Linked DNA regions of Mytilus edulis. The protein of the gene in region 2 purifies or fractionates together with the protein of the main gene of each other region. This does not show direct contact. Links are inferred from orthologs where the notes say so. Each region holds a gene or a part of one and is shown on either strand. Other genes may lie near its edges.

Evidence for each region.
Region 1: the proteins of 3-hydroxyacyl-CoA dehydrogenase type-2-like (region 2) and tRNA methyltransferase 10 homolog C-like purify together in Homo sapiens (co-immunoprecipitation; 3 studies listed by BioGRID and IntAct, counting the BioPlex papers as one, with this or other methods). This does not show direct contact. The link is inferred for Mytilus edulis from reciprocal best matches to the Homo sapiens genes HSD17B10 and TRMT10C.

Annotation. Positions count from the first base shown.
Region 1 is NC_092347.1:26,992,992-27,001,382, reverse strand, and holds the start of tRNA methyltransferase 10 homolog C-like, read right to left. Parts: upstream 3,488-8,391; 5' UTR 3,331-3,487; intron 1,565-3,330; 5' UTR 1,554-1,564; coding exon 1,239-1,553; intron 1-1,238. Other genes in the region: uncharacterized protein, read left to right, coding at 5,739-6,494. UniProt on the Homo sapiens protein: Mitochondrial tRNA N(1)-methyltransferase involved in mitochondrial tRNA maturation. Component of mitochondrial ribonuclease P, a complex composed of TRMT10C/MRPP1, HSD17B10/MRPP2 and PRORP/MRPP3, which cleaves tRNA molecules in their 5'-ends.
Region 2 is NC_092344.1:67,261,444-67,269,983, reverse strand, and holds the start of 3-hydroxyacyl-CoA dehydrogenase type-2-like, read right to left. Parts: upstream 3,414-8,540; 5' UTR 3,362-3,413; intron 2,906-3,361; 5' UTR 2,866-2,905; coding exon 2,845-2,865; intron 1-2,844. Other genes in the region: ataxin-10-like, read left to right, coding at 7,571-7,695. UniProt on the Homo sapiens protein: Mitochondrial dehydrogenase involved in pathways of fatty acid, branched-chain amino acid and steroid metabolism. Acts as (S)-3-hydroxyacyl-CoA dehydrogenase in mitochondrial fatty acid beta-oxidation, a major degradation pathway of fatty acids.

The DNA.
Region 1 (8,391 bases), on a different chromosome or scaffold from region 2:
TTGGTAAAATAGAACTAGTTAAACATCATTTAAGTATCACCTGCGTTTAATCAATAAATATTGACTCGATAAATTTTTATCTCCACATGCAGCTACTGTACCCATAAACAACAAAACAGATGTTTTTACCCTCATTGTTTTTAACACTTTAAATAACCAAGTTTTTAAATGTGATTGACACCTTGTAATGGGTCCTTGACAACTCTTAACTGCAGCAAGATGGCAGATTATCAGCATAAGAGAAGCAGGGATGTCGCTGTAACAACTGCACGTATTGTTGGTCATCACCATTCCACTATAAGTCGTTTTGAGAATAAAAATCAGGCAATAAACGCTGTTAAAACCCTTCCGAGATAATGAAGACCCCTATACCATTTGCCTGAGAAAATCAAGCAGAATGAAGGTTGGTCAGAAGGAAACCCATTGCATACAAGACAATCCTAAAAAGAGAGTGGTGGCCATACAGGAGCCTTTTAACAAGAACTGTTCGAGATCAACTCATAGCTACTGGTTTTCGTGCGATAAGACCATTTCGGAGACCTTTGCTAACGAACAGACACACAGTTTTCCGTATCCAATGTAGTGCAGAGCATGCCAAAGTTGGAAATTAGCATCGTGGAGGAAGATCCAATGTTCAAATGAAATTTGGTTCATCTTACTTGGCCTGATCGTAGCCCAGCTTTGAACCATATCGAGCATATATGGGACACTATTGGGCGGAAAGTGCGCGAAAGGACACCCCAGTTCAAACACATCATGAAATAAACAATGCCCTTCATCAGAAATGGTTGCTGCTACCTTAGCAACAAATTAGTCGATTTATGACAGGAATCAGAAGACATTAAGATGCGGTTATCTGTTTGAATGGAGGCTGCGCACAAAGTACTAATTCTTTGGCGTATAACGATCAACCATGATGTGAACAGTCATCTAAAGATTAATTTTGAAATGTCTGACATTGTAAAGTTCGACTATGGACAGTAAAAGTTGTAAAATGCATTTTTTTGTACAAAAAACACTTCATTTTGTTATTAAAATTGTGGTTGTATAAATCATTTTTTTTTCAAATATTTTTTGTTCGTTTCAATGCCAATGTTATCATAAACTATATTTCAATAATATTATACACATATTTTATTATATTTCATCCAAAAAAAGAGGCTGATTTTTCAAGTTTTAAAAATCAAGGTGTTGCAATACTTTTTTCCATGTGTATATATACAAGGACTAACTGTTACCTGTGTTGAAATACTACTGGTAACTTCATATTCCAGTTTATAAGCTTGCAGTTTTTTCTGCTCTTCTTCAGATAGGTTACTTAAATATTCAGCAGCTGTCTCTGGAGTAAATAGTCCTTCTAAAAGAGGCTTATCTGCTGAGTCTAGTGTATAATCTTTCTCAATTAAGGGAGCATGTTCACTGTCATAGAAGTAAGAAGTTGACATCATTGTATTCCCTCCTTCACTGTGGAGCAATGTCTGTTTTCTAAAATTCTGTTGTCTCCCTCTTGACAATTTTGCCATCTGAAACAGACGTCTTCTTATGCAATTCATCTCAACTTCTTCTGAAATTAAAAAAAACATGAAAGCATTTTCTTTAAAGTATGATGTGTTAATTACTAGCATGACTAGTATTAATGTTCTGTCCTTGGTGAACAAATATAACTTCTGTTCTCGTAATTTGAACAACAAAATTAATGTTATGTAAAATATATTTCCGTACTCCATGATTGTATACCTTCTGCCTTCGCCCTTAACTTTTAAATCCACAAGCCAGAAGCTCCAAATTTTGAAGAAAAAAAGGTTGTATTTTGTTGGCTTTTAGGAGAATTTTACGAGCCCATATGCAATTTTACAAGCCAATGTCTTAGGACTTGTGGTAAAGAGTGAAGACTGTGTGACCTTACAGCAAAATTATTTTTATTAACCTATTTACGTTATTCTACTTGGCAGCATTTTGTTCAATGCTATTGTTGTCTTTCTGATAATATTTAACACCTTTATATTTTTATTGATGTGTATTTACATTGTGACATAGATCAAATTTATTCGTTCAGTGTATGTTTTTTTTTTTTAATAATATATCTTTTGATTAAGTTAAGCCATTTCAATTGATATTTTATGTCTTTCTAGTATGTTGTGATTTTACACTATTGTTTCAGGTAAGGGTAAAGGTTGGTTCCTATTAAAATGTTTAAACCCCCTGCATTTGTTAGCACCTGTCCTAAGTCAGAAATCTGATCATGCTGATGTTCAGTAATTGTCGTCTGCATTTTATCTAACTACTCGGCTAATTTATTAAATCTTTGGTCTACATTTTATCTATCTACTCAGCTATTTATTAAATCTTTGGTCTACATTTTATCTATCTACTCAGCTATCTTATTACATTCTGATGTCTGCATTTTATCTACGATCAGATCTACATGTACTTTAGTCACAACCATAAAAAGATAACAACACTTTGGTTAGGGCAAAGAAATCGTTTAATGTGTTGACATGTTATACCACGTCAAGTGCTGCCTTTATGACAAAAAAAGACCAAAAACAACACTTAAATACAATAGACGTGGATATTGTGGGGTTGCAGAAATGGAAACAGGAAGTGACAGCACTATATAAATATGGCTTCCATTTTTACGATTATAAAAATTAGGTGGTCATGGTGGTGTAACGGGGAGATAATGTTGACAAAGTAGAATCTTGATTGTTGCTGAATATAATGAATATGGTTTTTACAAGGGATTCAGTGACGGATCCAGGGTAGTCCCGGCGGTGGAAACACCCTTATATATCTGATGATCAATATGATCAATGCAGTTGAATAGGGACATATAGTTGGACCCCCCTTTTTTATCATGATTTGGGAACCCCCTTTAAAAGATGGTTGGATCTGCCCCTTGAAATTTCTTTGACATTAAATGAATTCAGCTATTTCTAATACACCCAGCAAATTGTATCAAACCCCTGTGGCTAGGCTACAAATATATATATACAATAATTATGACTCCTTGAAATGCTATTTATTTTTTGGCCTTTATTTTTTTCTGTGACACCTTCCTGCGACTTTGGATCACAGCCACTTGTTTTGACAGAGGTTAGATGGGGCACTAGTCCAAATATTTATGACGTCTGCCAAGGTTATTTTAATTTTTTTCTGGGACGCCTTCCTCCCAGAGAAAAAATTAAAATAGCCTTGCCAGACGTCATAATCATTTGGACTAATGGAGCACATGAAACTATAGTGTCAGAGGTTATTTTCAATTTCATTGCCTTTTTACTCAATTAACTTTCTTTTTATTTCAAAGGTATGACAGTTTTATATACTTACGCTAGGGTGTATTTGTCAGAATACTTCAAGTGGTTTTGATTTTTAAATATTTAAATTCTTCTCCACATGGCCAAGTTTATAAATTTTTCTGTGGGAAAATAATAGACCGGGAAGCGAAATGAATGTATAATGTTAGTAAATATCGTCTTTTCTAAATATATTCCTCCGTCTCGGAGCACAATATAACTTGCCGTGTGCCTCAGAAGTTTTACTTAAACCAGAGACAAAATACAAGTGGAAAATGAAAGTAAAAAAGTGTATTGATAACTTTTGGTCCGAAAAACTGTTTACTGAAGCCAAATCAAAACCGTCATTACGGTACCTAAATATGAAAAACTGTAAAATTGGTGTTGTTAATAGACGTATTTACACTTGTATGCAAATTTGTCCGCCATTACGTAAAATCACACAGGTTCCCGTAAACTTTGACATATGGAAAAGTGCTGGTTCAGAACAAATGTGTATACGTAAAGCCTGTTATAAGATCAAAATGCTATTGGATACATATATTCTACAGTACCACCGTTCAAAATTTTCAAATGGTCAAAAAACTTCAATTTGTCCGCTATGTGAGGAAGGAACTGAACATTTAGAACATTTTCTTGTCGTATGCTCTGCCCTAACAAGTATTAGAGACATTTTTATCTCAAAGCTTTATACAATTGTTGTACCAAAGATTGGAACTGTTGCATGGACTGACATTTGCGTTAGTAACTCGAAAATGATACAATTAATCTTGGACTGTAGTCGTTTCGAGTGGTATCATGTGTTGGAGAAAAATGACATAAATTTGGTGGAATCAATCACTATAGAAGCCTGTGTTACTCGCTCCATGAAAAGCGTAGTGTGCTCCTTGAAAGTAAATAAACATTTAAAAGTTGTAAGGTTTACCAAACTCATAGGCTGTAAATAGATAAAAAATTTTAAAGATAAATGTATAGTGACTGGAAACAGATGTAAATATAAGGCAACAAAATTTTACTGGATGAACTCCAGGTTCTCTTGATAGAGGAGGGATCTACAGAAGGTAACAGGTAACAGGTAACATGTTTCACACGGGGAAAAACTTTAGGGTATTCATAAAGTATGTATTTATTTATATCCTAAAACATTTTTTGTTTGTTTAAGACATTTTCAGGGATAATTTTAAATGAGACTGCACATTAACAGACCATCTTGTTTTGTCTTGTCTTGTAGAAGATCCGTCCTATAAATATAGGACCACCAGCTCCAGTAAACGGATTAGAGTATAAATTCACAATTTTTCTATTTGAAATGTTTTTGTTTAGGAAAAGTAATTTACAGAAGGATGGCTGCCCTTAATCCCTTTCTATTGCTACTAGGCATAGCATTCAAAAACCCATTTCGGGTCCCGGTAAAGTGAGAAACGGAACAGTTATCGATGCTAAATGAAATAAGTGACAAGCTTACTGGTGTCGGCAAGGCAGTTGACTCATTAGATCCCATCCCTGCTACACAGATGCCTAGAGGTTATGGGGGCATAGCTATATTATGGAAAAAAAGATTTAGACTCTATAATAATTTCACCATTAACAATAGGTAACGAAAGAATTCAAGGAATAGAAGTCACTAGTGATCCTAATTTAATTATTCTCTCTGTATACTTGCCTTGTAAAGGATCATCTCAACACCTTAGACTAGTGATTTTCAAGACTGCATTGCTCAGTGACATGAAATAGTCAGTACGTATCAACAATCACACCAAATAATTATTGGAGGAGACTTAAACGAGGATATTGTAAATGGTCCAACATGATCACAAAGGAAGACCTGTGTCAATGACTTCATGAAAGAGCATGATTTCGAAACAAAATATAATAGTAGCACTTTTATCCATTCAAACGGCTGCATGTGATACCACTGCCATTGACTATTTTATATTTCAAAATTTATATATACATAATATCTAATGTATCAGATCATTACCCAATTAAACTGATCCTTCAATATCATCATCCTGTGAAACAAATCAATTCAAGTAATACTTCTGTCAAACGTAAGATCAAATGGGATAAAGTTGATACACAGCTATATGAGACTCTTATTGCTTCAGAAATACCAGACAGCAAACCAACAATAGAGACAATAGAAGATGTAACAAACGCTTTCAAGAATCTCAATCAAATTATTGTTAAATCTACTAAAGCTGCAGCACCAGCAATCAAAATTGGGGAAAAAAAGACCTAAGCTACAAGTAATGATTGACGCCATAAAAGAAGCTATCAAAAAGAAGAAACTTGCTTTTCACGACTGGAAGTTAAATGGACGTCCAAAAGAATCCGATAGCATATATCTGAAAAAGAATAAACTAACAACGCACATTCTACGTAAAGAATGCAGATTAGAAGTAGCTAAACGTAGAATAAATAAACGTCAAAAACTAATTAATGTCAGAACATCAGACAGAAACATGTTTTATAAAAATTATAAAAGGTCAAAGAGGAAAATTATCTAGATTTATAGATCAATTACATGTAGATGATAATACCTATCACAACGATAATATCATTGAAGGCTGGCGTTCACACTTTCATAAGCTTGCAAAAAAGGAACAAAATCAAAATTATGACACTCAATATCGACAAGATCTTATTGAAAAAGAAGCTAAAATTATAATTGACATATGTAAAGATCGTTTCAAGCATAACCCTATTTCAGAAGAAGAGATTTCAAAAGCAATATCATGTCTAAATAGGAATAAAGCTGCCGACTTCTTTGGTGTAAACGCTGAAAATATCATATATGGTGGTAAACAATTGCAACAATATTTGCAACTACTTATCAACAGATCTTTGGAACTAGGCTGTATATCTGATATTCTGAAAATTGGTACACTATTTCCTGTATTCAAGAATAAGGGTGGTGCAAGATATGCGAAAAACTATAGAGAAATAACAGTCACACCTATATACTCCAAAATAATTGAAAAGATAATTAAATTACGGGAAAACCCTATCATCCTGGAGAAACAAAATCAATTACAAAGAGCATTTACCGAGAACACCACCCCTCTGTTATGTGAATTAATTATTGAAGAGTTTGAGCGTGAAAGTAAAGATCTCAAATTACCAACATACATAGCTTTACTTGATGGTAAATCGGCATTTGGTGTGGTCGTACATTCAAATCTTATAAGGAGATAATATCAAACAGGAATCTATGATCAATCCATAATATTGATAGACAGTCTATACAAAAATGCAACAGCTTGTATAAAAATGGAGAAATAAAACTTCAGCAGTCTTTGGGATAGAACAGGGTGTACGCCAAGGTGGTACCATTAGTGCAGATCTGTACAAGTTGTATGTAAACCCTCTACTAAACCTCTTATGTGACACATGAATAGGTGGACACATAGGCAATATTAGCTGCTGTGCTCCAACATGTGCTGATGACGTTGCTATCATAGCAAACAATCTAGTAGAACTTCAGACGCTAGTAAATATTGCAGTCAATTTTAGTAGGAGAGAGGGATACACTCTACAACCAACAAAAAGTGTAATATTACCGGTATGTAAACACTTCATCCAGATCGATTGAAATAGAGGACATTTTTTGGCATATAAACAATAACCCTATGCCAGTTGTAGATCACTCCTCACATATTGGTATACAAAAGTGTCAGAAAAACTCGGCAAAATTAACTGTTGATATTAACATAAAGAAGGCAAGAGGATCATTATATAGTCTAATGGGCGCAGGCTTACATGGGAGGAATGGATTAGATCCTGAAACAGCTATAACTTTTTTAAATACATATGTTATGCCTATATTAACCTATCATGGTTTGGAAATACTACTTCCGACAGGCAGCATTTTTGACACAATCAACCAATTTCACAAGAAAATTATTAAACAAATACTCTCTTTATCTCAACAAACAGCTGACCCTGCTATATACATACTAGATCATACTAAGTGGAATGCTACCAATTGAAGCTGAAATCCACCTTAAAGCTTTAACACTTTTTGGAAATATCACCAGAGCTAACAAAACATCAGTTGAATGGAGATTGGCAGAAAGACAGCTGCAATTAAAAACACATACAAGTAAAAGCTGGTTCATACAAATAAAGAAAATATGCCTAAAATGTGATCTGCCAGACTGTCAGAATTTCCTAACTTACCCTCTTGGAAAATTCCAATGGAAAAAAATTATTACAAGGAAAATTTATACTTACTGGAGAGAAAAGATAAATGAAAATTCAGAGGGTTATTCTAGCTTGCAACACATCGCAACCGGACAGAGAAAAGCTTTTAAAAGTGATACGTGAGCAATGTCTTAGATTGGTAGAACTATTTAACATTAGTTTGGATATAAACCTAACCCATGTGATAATTAACCCATACTATCTAGTGAAATTATGTGCTTGCACCAAAACTAGTGATTTATGTAGCTTTATTAGCTTGCATGTTGAACCTGCTTGTAGAACACTTATATATATCCTGCATAATAATATGCAAAGATACAAGCTCCTAAACACTGGACAGAAAAACTTAAGAAAGTCAAATTTAGCTATGTAGTAGTTGTGTGTGGACTGTAAGTTATTATTAATTAAAAGTAAATATATTCTAAATTCCGTGAATAAGACTTGATATATGATATTGGTGAAGGAATATATTGACATACTTTTATTGTGTACAGACTGTATTATAATTCTATTGGTGATTGGATTTATATTCGATTTATTACTTCGTACTGAAGGTGTGCCTATATTGGCAAGATACAGATACAGATACAGAAACGAAACAGAGCGAAACGAAACGAAACGAAACATGGTAAAACGAAACGAAACACAGCGAAACGAAACGAAACAGCGAAACGAAACAAAACATGTAAATTGAGAAACGAAACACAACGAAACGAAACAAAATCTGTGTTTTGAGGAACGACCTATAGAAAATCTTCTAACGAGATATATGCATAGCCGAAGATATTGATATTAAGTGGGAATATTTTCCCTAGTTTGTCACTTCTAGCCAATCATCTGACTGGACAACAGTGAAATACAGTTCATTTTCAATTGAATTGTTATTCTA
Region 2 (8,540 bases):
GGCTGCCATAAATAAATATACAGGAAGTGTGGGAATAAACTAAAACCAGGTCAAATCCGGAAACGGACAAGTATATAAATCCGGGTTTGTCAATCAAATACAGTAAATTTATAAAAAATGAAAAGAACCAAACATGTGACAGCTATCATAGCAACACTAAAATTGAAAACTAAAAGATATATAAAAAAGAAAATAGAAACAGGATATATTTTATACAGAACTTAAAATATTTTATTTCACAAATTTTCATGTCAAAATCAAAAAAATGTAACAATCCTTTAAGAAGTTGGAACTCATTATTTTGATACTCAAATAAACTGAAATGCCATGTTGTTATATTTAAAAAACAAAGAAGGTGTAGTCCTTACTTTATTTTCACCAACAAAAAATAATTTTATGAACTAATCACACTAAAACTAACATCTGGTATATTGGTTGTTTTTCCCAATTTCATTGAAAACCGCGTTAAAAAATTCCCTATACTGGCCAGGGTCCTTTTTCCCAAAATACCCAGATAAACCCCTGTAATTATCCTAAAAATTATACATTTTTTATTCAGAAATAACTCATATTTATCAAATGTAAAAAAAATCATCATTTTTTGCTATATATTTAGGCCACAGTTTTTTAATTTGTTGGTTTACGGATTTTCCCCATGAAAAAGTCGGGTTGGTTGGTCGGGGAAAAAATAAAAAATAAATCTTTCAAGATCTTTCAAGACAGAAAAATATGCAAAATAAATATATATTTCACCTTTCTAACAATATTTTTGTTATGCTTTTTTGTCATTATTCTTTAAAAAGTTTAGTTCGAAGAAATATTCTTGCTCAGCTGTAATAAATATCGCATGACATTGTCTAATAATTTCCCGTAAAAAAGGGGTGTGTGCACAGACAAAGACGAAATTAAATGGTCATTTCACAAACAAGAAAAACAAGTTAGCGTATATAGCTCTTAATCAATTCCAGAAAACTTGGTGAGTAATGATCTTCAAAGCACGAAAACTGATAAAGAAAAATGTAAAAAAAAATCGTACCAAAATAAGTTTCAACACACGTGTCAAAAACGTAATAGACTCGTACACTGGAAAAACGAGAATATCGGGTTAATCTGGTGTCATGCATTCCCGTGGACAATATTTTTTTTATTATCTATGAAACAAGATAATTCTAAATGATTTGTTGATATTCAGAACTTTTACTTGGTGCCTTCCACCTGTCCAAGTTTGTTTCTATGAGATCATGCATCTTATGGACTGATAACAAATAAGGGAAACGAACTTATTGTGTAATTAATTTTAAACACAGATTTTGTTCTGCAAAATTATTTGCGCAAACGACATTTCAAGGTCAGTTATTATTGATTTGTCTATTTTTTGAAACGTAAACCGGAAGTTTTATTTTTCACAACAGAAAGTGTTATCAATTTTGTTAGTGATTAATGCATTTCATTTCATCAATTATTTTTCAGGGATAATGTATTTGTTAGGCTTGGCGGAAATAAAAAAGCATGAAAAGTCAATTTTATTTTTATTCTGGAAATCAGCAAAATGGGGTAAACCAACAAATTAAAAAATTCTGGCCTTATCAAATTAAAAAAAATTGCACTATTTACATTTTCATGAAAATAGGCACACACAATCTTCTCACATAATCAAACCAAATGGAACTTTAAAACAGAGGGGTCCATGAAGTTTGAATGATAAAAATAAGCCGAAAACTGAATCTTTTCCCGATAAGTCATAGTTTGATGTTGCGAAAATAACAATTTACGTTAGCAACGTCATTACCTCCCCTGTAACTGTATCGTATGCCCTTAAGGAATGACTGTAATATTTTTTCTGTCTATGAAGAAATAACATAAAAAATGTGGTGCACACTGAATAAAGTGCGTAGCTATTTTGAAAGGCAGAAAAAATATAACAATCATTTCTTATAATTTAATTCTTAATTCCATTTTAAACTGGATTATTACATTGGTTGCAATGAATTTCATTGATTTCCCAGTTAGATAAAAACCGATAATTTCAAATGTGAAATAAACGTGGTTATTTCACTCTCTGACATCATACAACAATAGGCGTTGTCAAGACATCGATAACGTCGGATCAAAACAAATTGTCAATGCGTAGGAAAAAGATATAGTTCCTTACATTTTCTACATTAATTTCATTAAAAAAAAGCCATTTACCAATGTAATAAAAAGAATAACTAATCGCCGTATTTGAATATCAAAAATAAGACAACTTGTGACCGAACGCCGCTATGGATTAAACTCGTGCTGCGCACTCGTTTAATCCATGTGTCGTTCGGTCATGCGTTGTCTTATTTTTGATATTCAAATACGGAGATTAGTTATACTATAAGTAAATCATAAAAAAAACGCTGATGGCGTCACGGTCACATGACAAAATTATGTCTATAGGGTGATAAACAAAACGAAGTCAGCCAATCAGAAGACATGTTACATCCAGAATTAAATTATAATCAGGTAGTATCTAGTCGCATCAATAATTTATATGTTCCTGGCTTCCTAACTCATTAGGTCAGGCATGTTAGATGGGAAAAATTGTACGATTTGCAAAACATAAATGTTCTATGTTTTCCATATGTAAGTGGCTGTATGGCATTTTAAAAGAATACATGCACACTGTTAATAAAACTCTTCACTGTTCAGACTTTTGATCAATGACATGGGAATGTCAAGTTTTCGTGACCACGGTATAATTTCGTAAGTAAGCAAAATTATGTGTAAGAGTTTGCAAAGTGGATAAATGTGCAACATAGGGAATACGTTTTGTCGTCATTTTCAGCAATAAACATGTGTTGTCATCACTGCATTCACCTTTAAATTTCTAATCGGCATATTTGTAATTTGCAAGTCCGAAGTTTACTTCACATGTGTTGGCCCAAGACCACAATTAATGACCCCGCTTTTCGTTGTCCACGAATATAGTTCCTTTTAATTAGAGTGTATTTTTCCTTAATTTTTTTTCTTTCCTTTCCTCACTCATTCCTTAAATCTTTTTGGGTGGAAATGAAAGAAGAGGAGTCAAATAAATTTTTGGAGGTTGTATTTTAACTGATTTTGATATGGAATGAGTGATTAGGTCAAGTGCAAAAAGGTGATATTTACAGTTTTCGGAACATCTCTTGACTTGTCAATAGGGGTATGGATGTGTATTGGCTAAATTTGTAAAAGTGATTGCTTCAATCTTTCTGAATTTTGGATATATATTTGGACTAGGACAATACATTACACACACAAAAAATTGGACAAAAGTGCATGGTGCAATTTTTTTAATGATGCAAAAGGTTATAAAGAACTGATAGAGGAATTAATTGTGGTCTGTGGCCTGTTTTACAGAACTTTTTTTTATCCAATCAGGTTACATCTTAAAATTTACTTCTTGTTTCTGTTTTGAAGGACAAAATAAATAAACCATTTCCGACCTAGTAACCAGTGTTTGAATATAATACGCAAAATGTTAATAAATTTACCTGCAATTTATATTTGTGAAATTTAGATTTATTTATAACGTAAAAGTTCTCTTTTGATTTTGAGCATAAAAGGGGACGGGGAAGTGGACCTAGTCTTTATTTAGAAATATTTGATTTGCCGACCATATTTCTTTATCCTCGTGTTTATATCAAAACTGGTCACATTGGCATTTCAATAATTTATTTTGCATATATAAATGAGTATATTCACTGCCATTAGCAGATAGTTTAAGACACTAAAGACGAATAAATTATTCAAACATAGTGATGTTTTACTATTGTTTCAGAAAAGGGAGAAGGTTTTGTACCATTAAAACGTTTAATTTCCAGCTGCAAATGTTTGCCCCTGTCCTAAGTCAGGAATCTGATATACAATAGTTGTCCTCTGTTTAATAATGAGTCATCAGCATCGTTGAAAGGAAAGTTTACTTCTAGAAAAACATTGATGATGAATAATATTTATTTGGAATAAGTTATTTTAATAAAAAAAAAAATGTTTTCTTGTCGTTTCTTGTCGCTAATATTCTTCTTCTTGTCGCTTCTTGACGCTTATGTCGCTAAAATTCTTCTTGTTGCTAATTAGTGAGACCGAATAACTCGACCTCATCAGTAAATCCGTATTTCATGGGAACTTCAATTTAACCCCTTAGTTAGAGATGGATAACGCATGAATTGTTCGTGTAATGTTATTTAAAGGAAAATAATGTCTACATTGAAAATGAAACAAAGGTAATTTATTCGATTGACTAAAAACATTCTTATACAGGTAAAAAAGGAGATAAACATTTATTTCTAATCTATAATATAAGATTTAACAGACCATGGAAGATTTAATTGCACGATTTGCTTAATCTATTTAGATCTACATTTGATGTTTGTATCGCTTATATGGTCATCAAAGGTGTTCGGAGGTCAACTCGATAGTTAATTAGATGGCGTCTAGCCTAAAATACACACAAAACGAAGCCACATAGTTTCGAGCTCTCGACCTGTAAACTGTTTATTTAAGACTTTCATTAGTTTGGATAGATGTTTTACATTGTTAACTTATAAATCAAATACGATAATTTAAGTGAAATCGGTGAACATGAATTTGACAGCTAGTGCCCTTTAAAAAGAACATCAGTCGCGACAACTGTTTAATGAAGAAGGAAAGAGTTCATGTGGATAAATTTCATTTGTTTAGAGAAATCTGAAACGTTTAAGAGAAAATTTCATCTAAATATCTTCTCGCACAAAATCTTTGACAAGTGTTTTTTGTTGATTTTTTTTTGGAGGGAAAAAGGGGGGGGGGGGTGTCTTTATGAGGCCATACATTTTTTACAACTCACTTACATTGATCCAAATATATGTATATGGCCAGTGTACCTCGAATTAAGAACATATTTTTTTTATCCATCTGATGAGTTAAACTTTTTAACAGACTTTTATTGTAGTTCGTTTTTATGTTGTACTGTTATACCACTGTCCCAGGTTAGGGGATGGTTGGGATCCCGCTTACATGTTCATCCCCGCCCCATTCTCTATGTATGTGCCTGTCCCAATTCAGTTGCCTATAATTCAGTGGTTGTCGTTTGTTTATATGTTACACAATTCAGTGTTTTTCGTTCATTTTACATGAATTAGGCCGTTAGTTTTCTCGTTTGAATTACTTTACATTGTCATGTCGGGACCTTTTATAGCTGACTATGCGGTATGGGATTTGCTCATTGTTGAATGACGTCATTGTTTAAGACGAGCAGAACAATGTTTCGAATTTGAACTTTCGTTTTAGATATTCGAATATTATAGAAACAAATTATTAAATTACGAAAAATGTACATCTTGCCCTTCCGTAGTACATTTTACCTGTACCTTCTCATATTTTACTAGGACACTTCATGAACTTTGTTCATGCTCGCATAATTATACATGTATATTATAAATTTCATTGTAGTAAAAAACTCTATAATTTGTCGGACAAACTTTCACTCATAAATACGGAACAAACTCAACCATGTGCAATTATGAAATTCACGATCCAATTGTAACTTACAAAAAGATGATGTTGAGGGAATGTCAAAATGCTTAGGCAAACATAAGACGGACATCACCATGGCAAAATATAAAGAACAAGAATGTGTCCATAGTACACGGATGCCCCACTCCCACTATCATTTTCGATGTTCAGTGGACCGTGAAATTGGGGTTAACACTTTAATTTGGAATTAGAATTAGAATGATCATATCATAGGGAACATGTGTACTATCATAGATGGGGCATAAAAAGAAAAACATACCGTGAACAGTCTCTAAAACATTATTCAAAAAATTGCAGCAAAACGCAGCTAGAGTATAAGTTAGTGAATGCATACTGATTTAAGTTTATTTAACTAGTTTATTTACCAAAAAAATATAAGACTATATTGCTGGTTTGGATTGAATGGATTCCTCTGTATAATTATTTTAATTTCTAATTTGTTCTTTGCATTGAACGAAATCGTTTCACCATTACTTGTTGCTGACGTTGCCGTATGAATTTTCTTTGATAGGATTAAGAAGATGTGGTATACAGTGAGAGTGTCAGTAAGACAACTCTCCGTCCAAGTCACAATTTGCAAAAAAGTTAACCATTATAAGTCAATAGTATATTGAATTCACTGATTTATCATTAAGCGATGTTGGAGTATACATAGGTTGACATGCTTTATTATTGATAGGTTATTGGTTGTAAACACTTTGCGGATTGCTGTGTCGATGTAGGATAAATTTAATTTAAAAATGCTGACTACCCCCGTGACATTCAGAACCAATTTTTATGTCAATAGACCGAACCCACGTTAATTGTTTTGTGATGTCTTATTTTTCACATTATATATGGGTTATTTAGGGACTATCTGGTGTTGTTGATGGCGGATCACCGTGTGTGTTCAAAATTTTAAACAATTCTAAACTAATTTAAACAATAATAAAATGTTAACAATAAAACTTAGAAAATAACAAAAAGTCTATCTGTGTATTGTTTTTTTCCTTTAGAAAGAAGGGCAGTTAAATATACTGAATTTTACAGAATTTTTTTTTGTTCATCCAGCAACAAAGAATTTTATCAAATAGTTCAGGAGTGTTTAAGAAAAACAATTCTTTCAATCGTAATCAATTCTATAGTTAAGAGGCTGTCCAAGTAAATATCAGGCAAATCCTATGATATTGGTGGCACAACATAATTTTTTTCCCACTGTCAGAATTTTTGGTTCCAATGCAATGTTTATATCATACAAAGGATATATATGTCAAAGATATTTTTGAATGAACAGTGGATGGCTCAGAAAATGATTTTAAAGTTCTTTAACAATACAACAAAATTTTGTGCAAAATGAAGAGTTATCTCCCCTTTTCGATGAATTTTCAGTGCTTTCTATGTATTTTTTTTCTCTTTATTTGTTGCATAAAAAACAAAATTCAACTTTAAGAAAGAATGAATTTGTGATATGAAATAGATGAAAAAATTTTGAAAACAAAATATGTCATGTGCCACCCAGTGCCTGGTTTTTCCATGGACACCCTCTTAAATATTTCCTCATTAAAGAAAAACTATAAATTCCACAGTATAACCCATATAAAGTAGCCGCATTTGATTTCATTATTTCAATGTATTTTAACGAAAAAACGAAGTTATTATATGAAATTTTAATCTGCAGTGACCCAGAATTCTTTTACGAGAGTTTTATCAAAATCTGCAGTCGAATGTTAAGATGCACAAGCAGTGACTTTCTTTATTAACTATATTAGTATATACAGAGACATATAATACATTATTATATGTCTCTGGTATATACAGTCCCTGGCGCAAGCTACCATATATTTTGCATAGAATAATATAACAAATTCAACATATTTCTCGAAAACTCTGTTACGGGTTCGGGACTACTGATTAGGTTCTAGATCCGGACTGGTTTATCATTTGATATTTATCAAGGGTACCAGATACTGAAATTTCGGAAGGATTGCGCAATCTTGAAACTGTAAAACACAACAAGGGAAAAGAGTAAGAATGTAACATTGAAAGCCCGAAAAGAAATACTGCCTCTAAAATGGAAAATACCTTTTCCGCAGTCAAATCAGCTTGTTCCAGTTCGCCAGAAAGCTTTTCAGAATGGCAACATCTAAATGAACTGTTAGTTCAACTAAAGGATTGCATGCTTGGTGAATCAGAAAGGTTTGAATCTGTTATATATCTTAATACGAGGCGGCATCACACAAATCATTTGGGACCATGAACCCCCTTTTTATACCAGTGGGGGCATAAAGTTTTACCCTTGTCAGTCTATTCATCTGTCTGTCTGTCCGTAGGCACTAAAATAGGTTTCTGTTTCCTAACTTTAGTTTGCCTCAACCAAAAATTATGAAACTAATACTGCAGTCACACTAGGCCACAATCGCACTACAATCTCTTAAAAAAATGCTAATTTTGACGATTGTAGTGCAATCATGTAGATCACAGTAAGGTTGTGGTACGTTCGTGGTGAGGTCTCATGATCGTGATGATTGTGGCCAACTTGAAAATGTACCAAAAACAATCCTGTGGTCGTGACGAAATCAGATCGTAGTAGAAGTTATGCAGGAGTGCAGTAAGTTCGTGGTTGGATCGCAATGGTCGCTTTAAAAATTTGCAAATTTGACGATTGTAGTGCAATAATGTGTAGATTACAGTAAGGTCGTGTAGATCACAGTAAGGTCATGGTACAGTCGTGTTGAGGTCTCATGATCGTGATGATTGTGGCCAACTTGAAAATGTTCAAAACAATCCTGTGGACATGACGAAATCAGATTGTAGTCAGTAGTAGAAGTGTAGCAAGAGCACAGTAAGTACTTGGTTGGATCGCAAGGGTTGCTGTGACATCGTAGCAAGAGCAAAGCGAAAGCGCGATTCTAGTAAGAGAGATTGCGCTACAATCTCAGAGTGATGTTACTGTGACCTCTCTACGACCATCACGTTCTCCCCGTGATGCAACAACGCTTCTACTGCGTAACTGCGACTATACCACGTTAATACTACGCTGT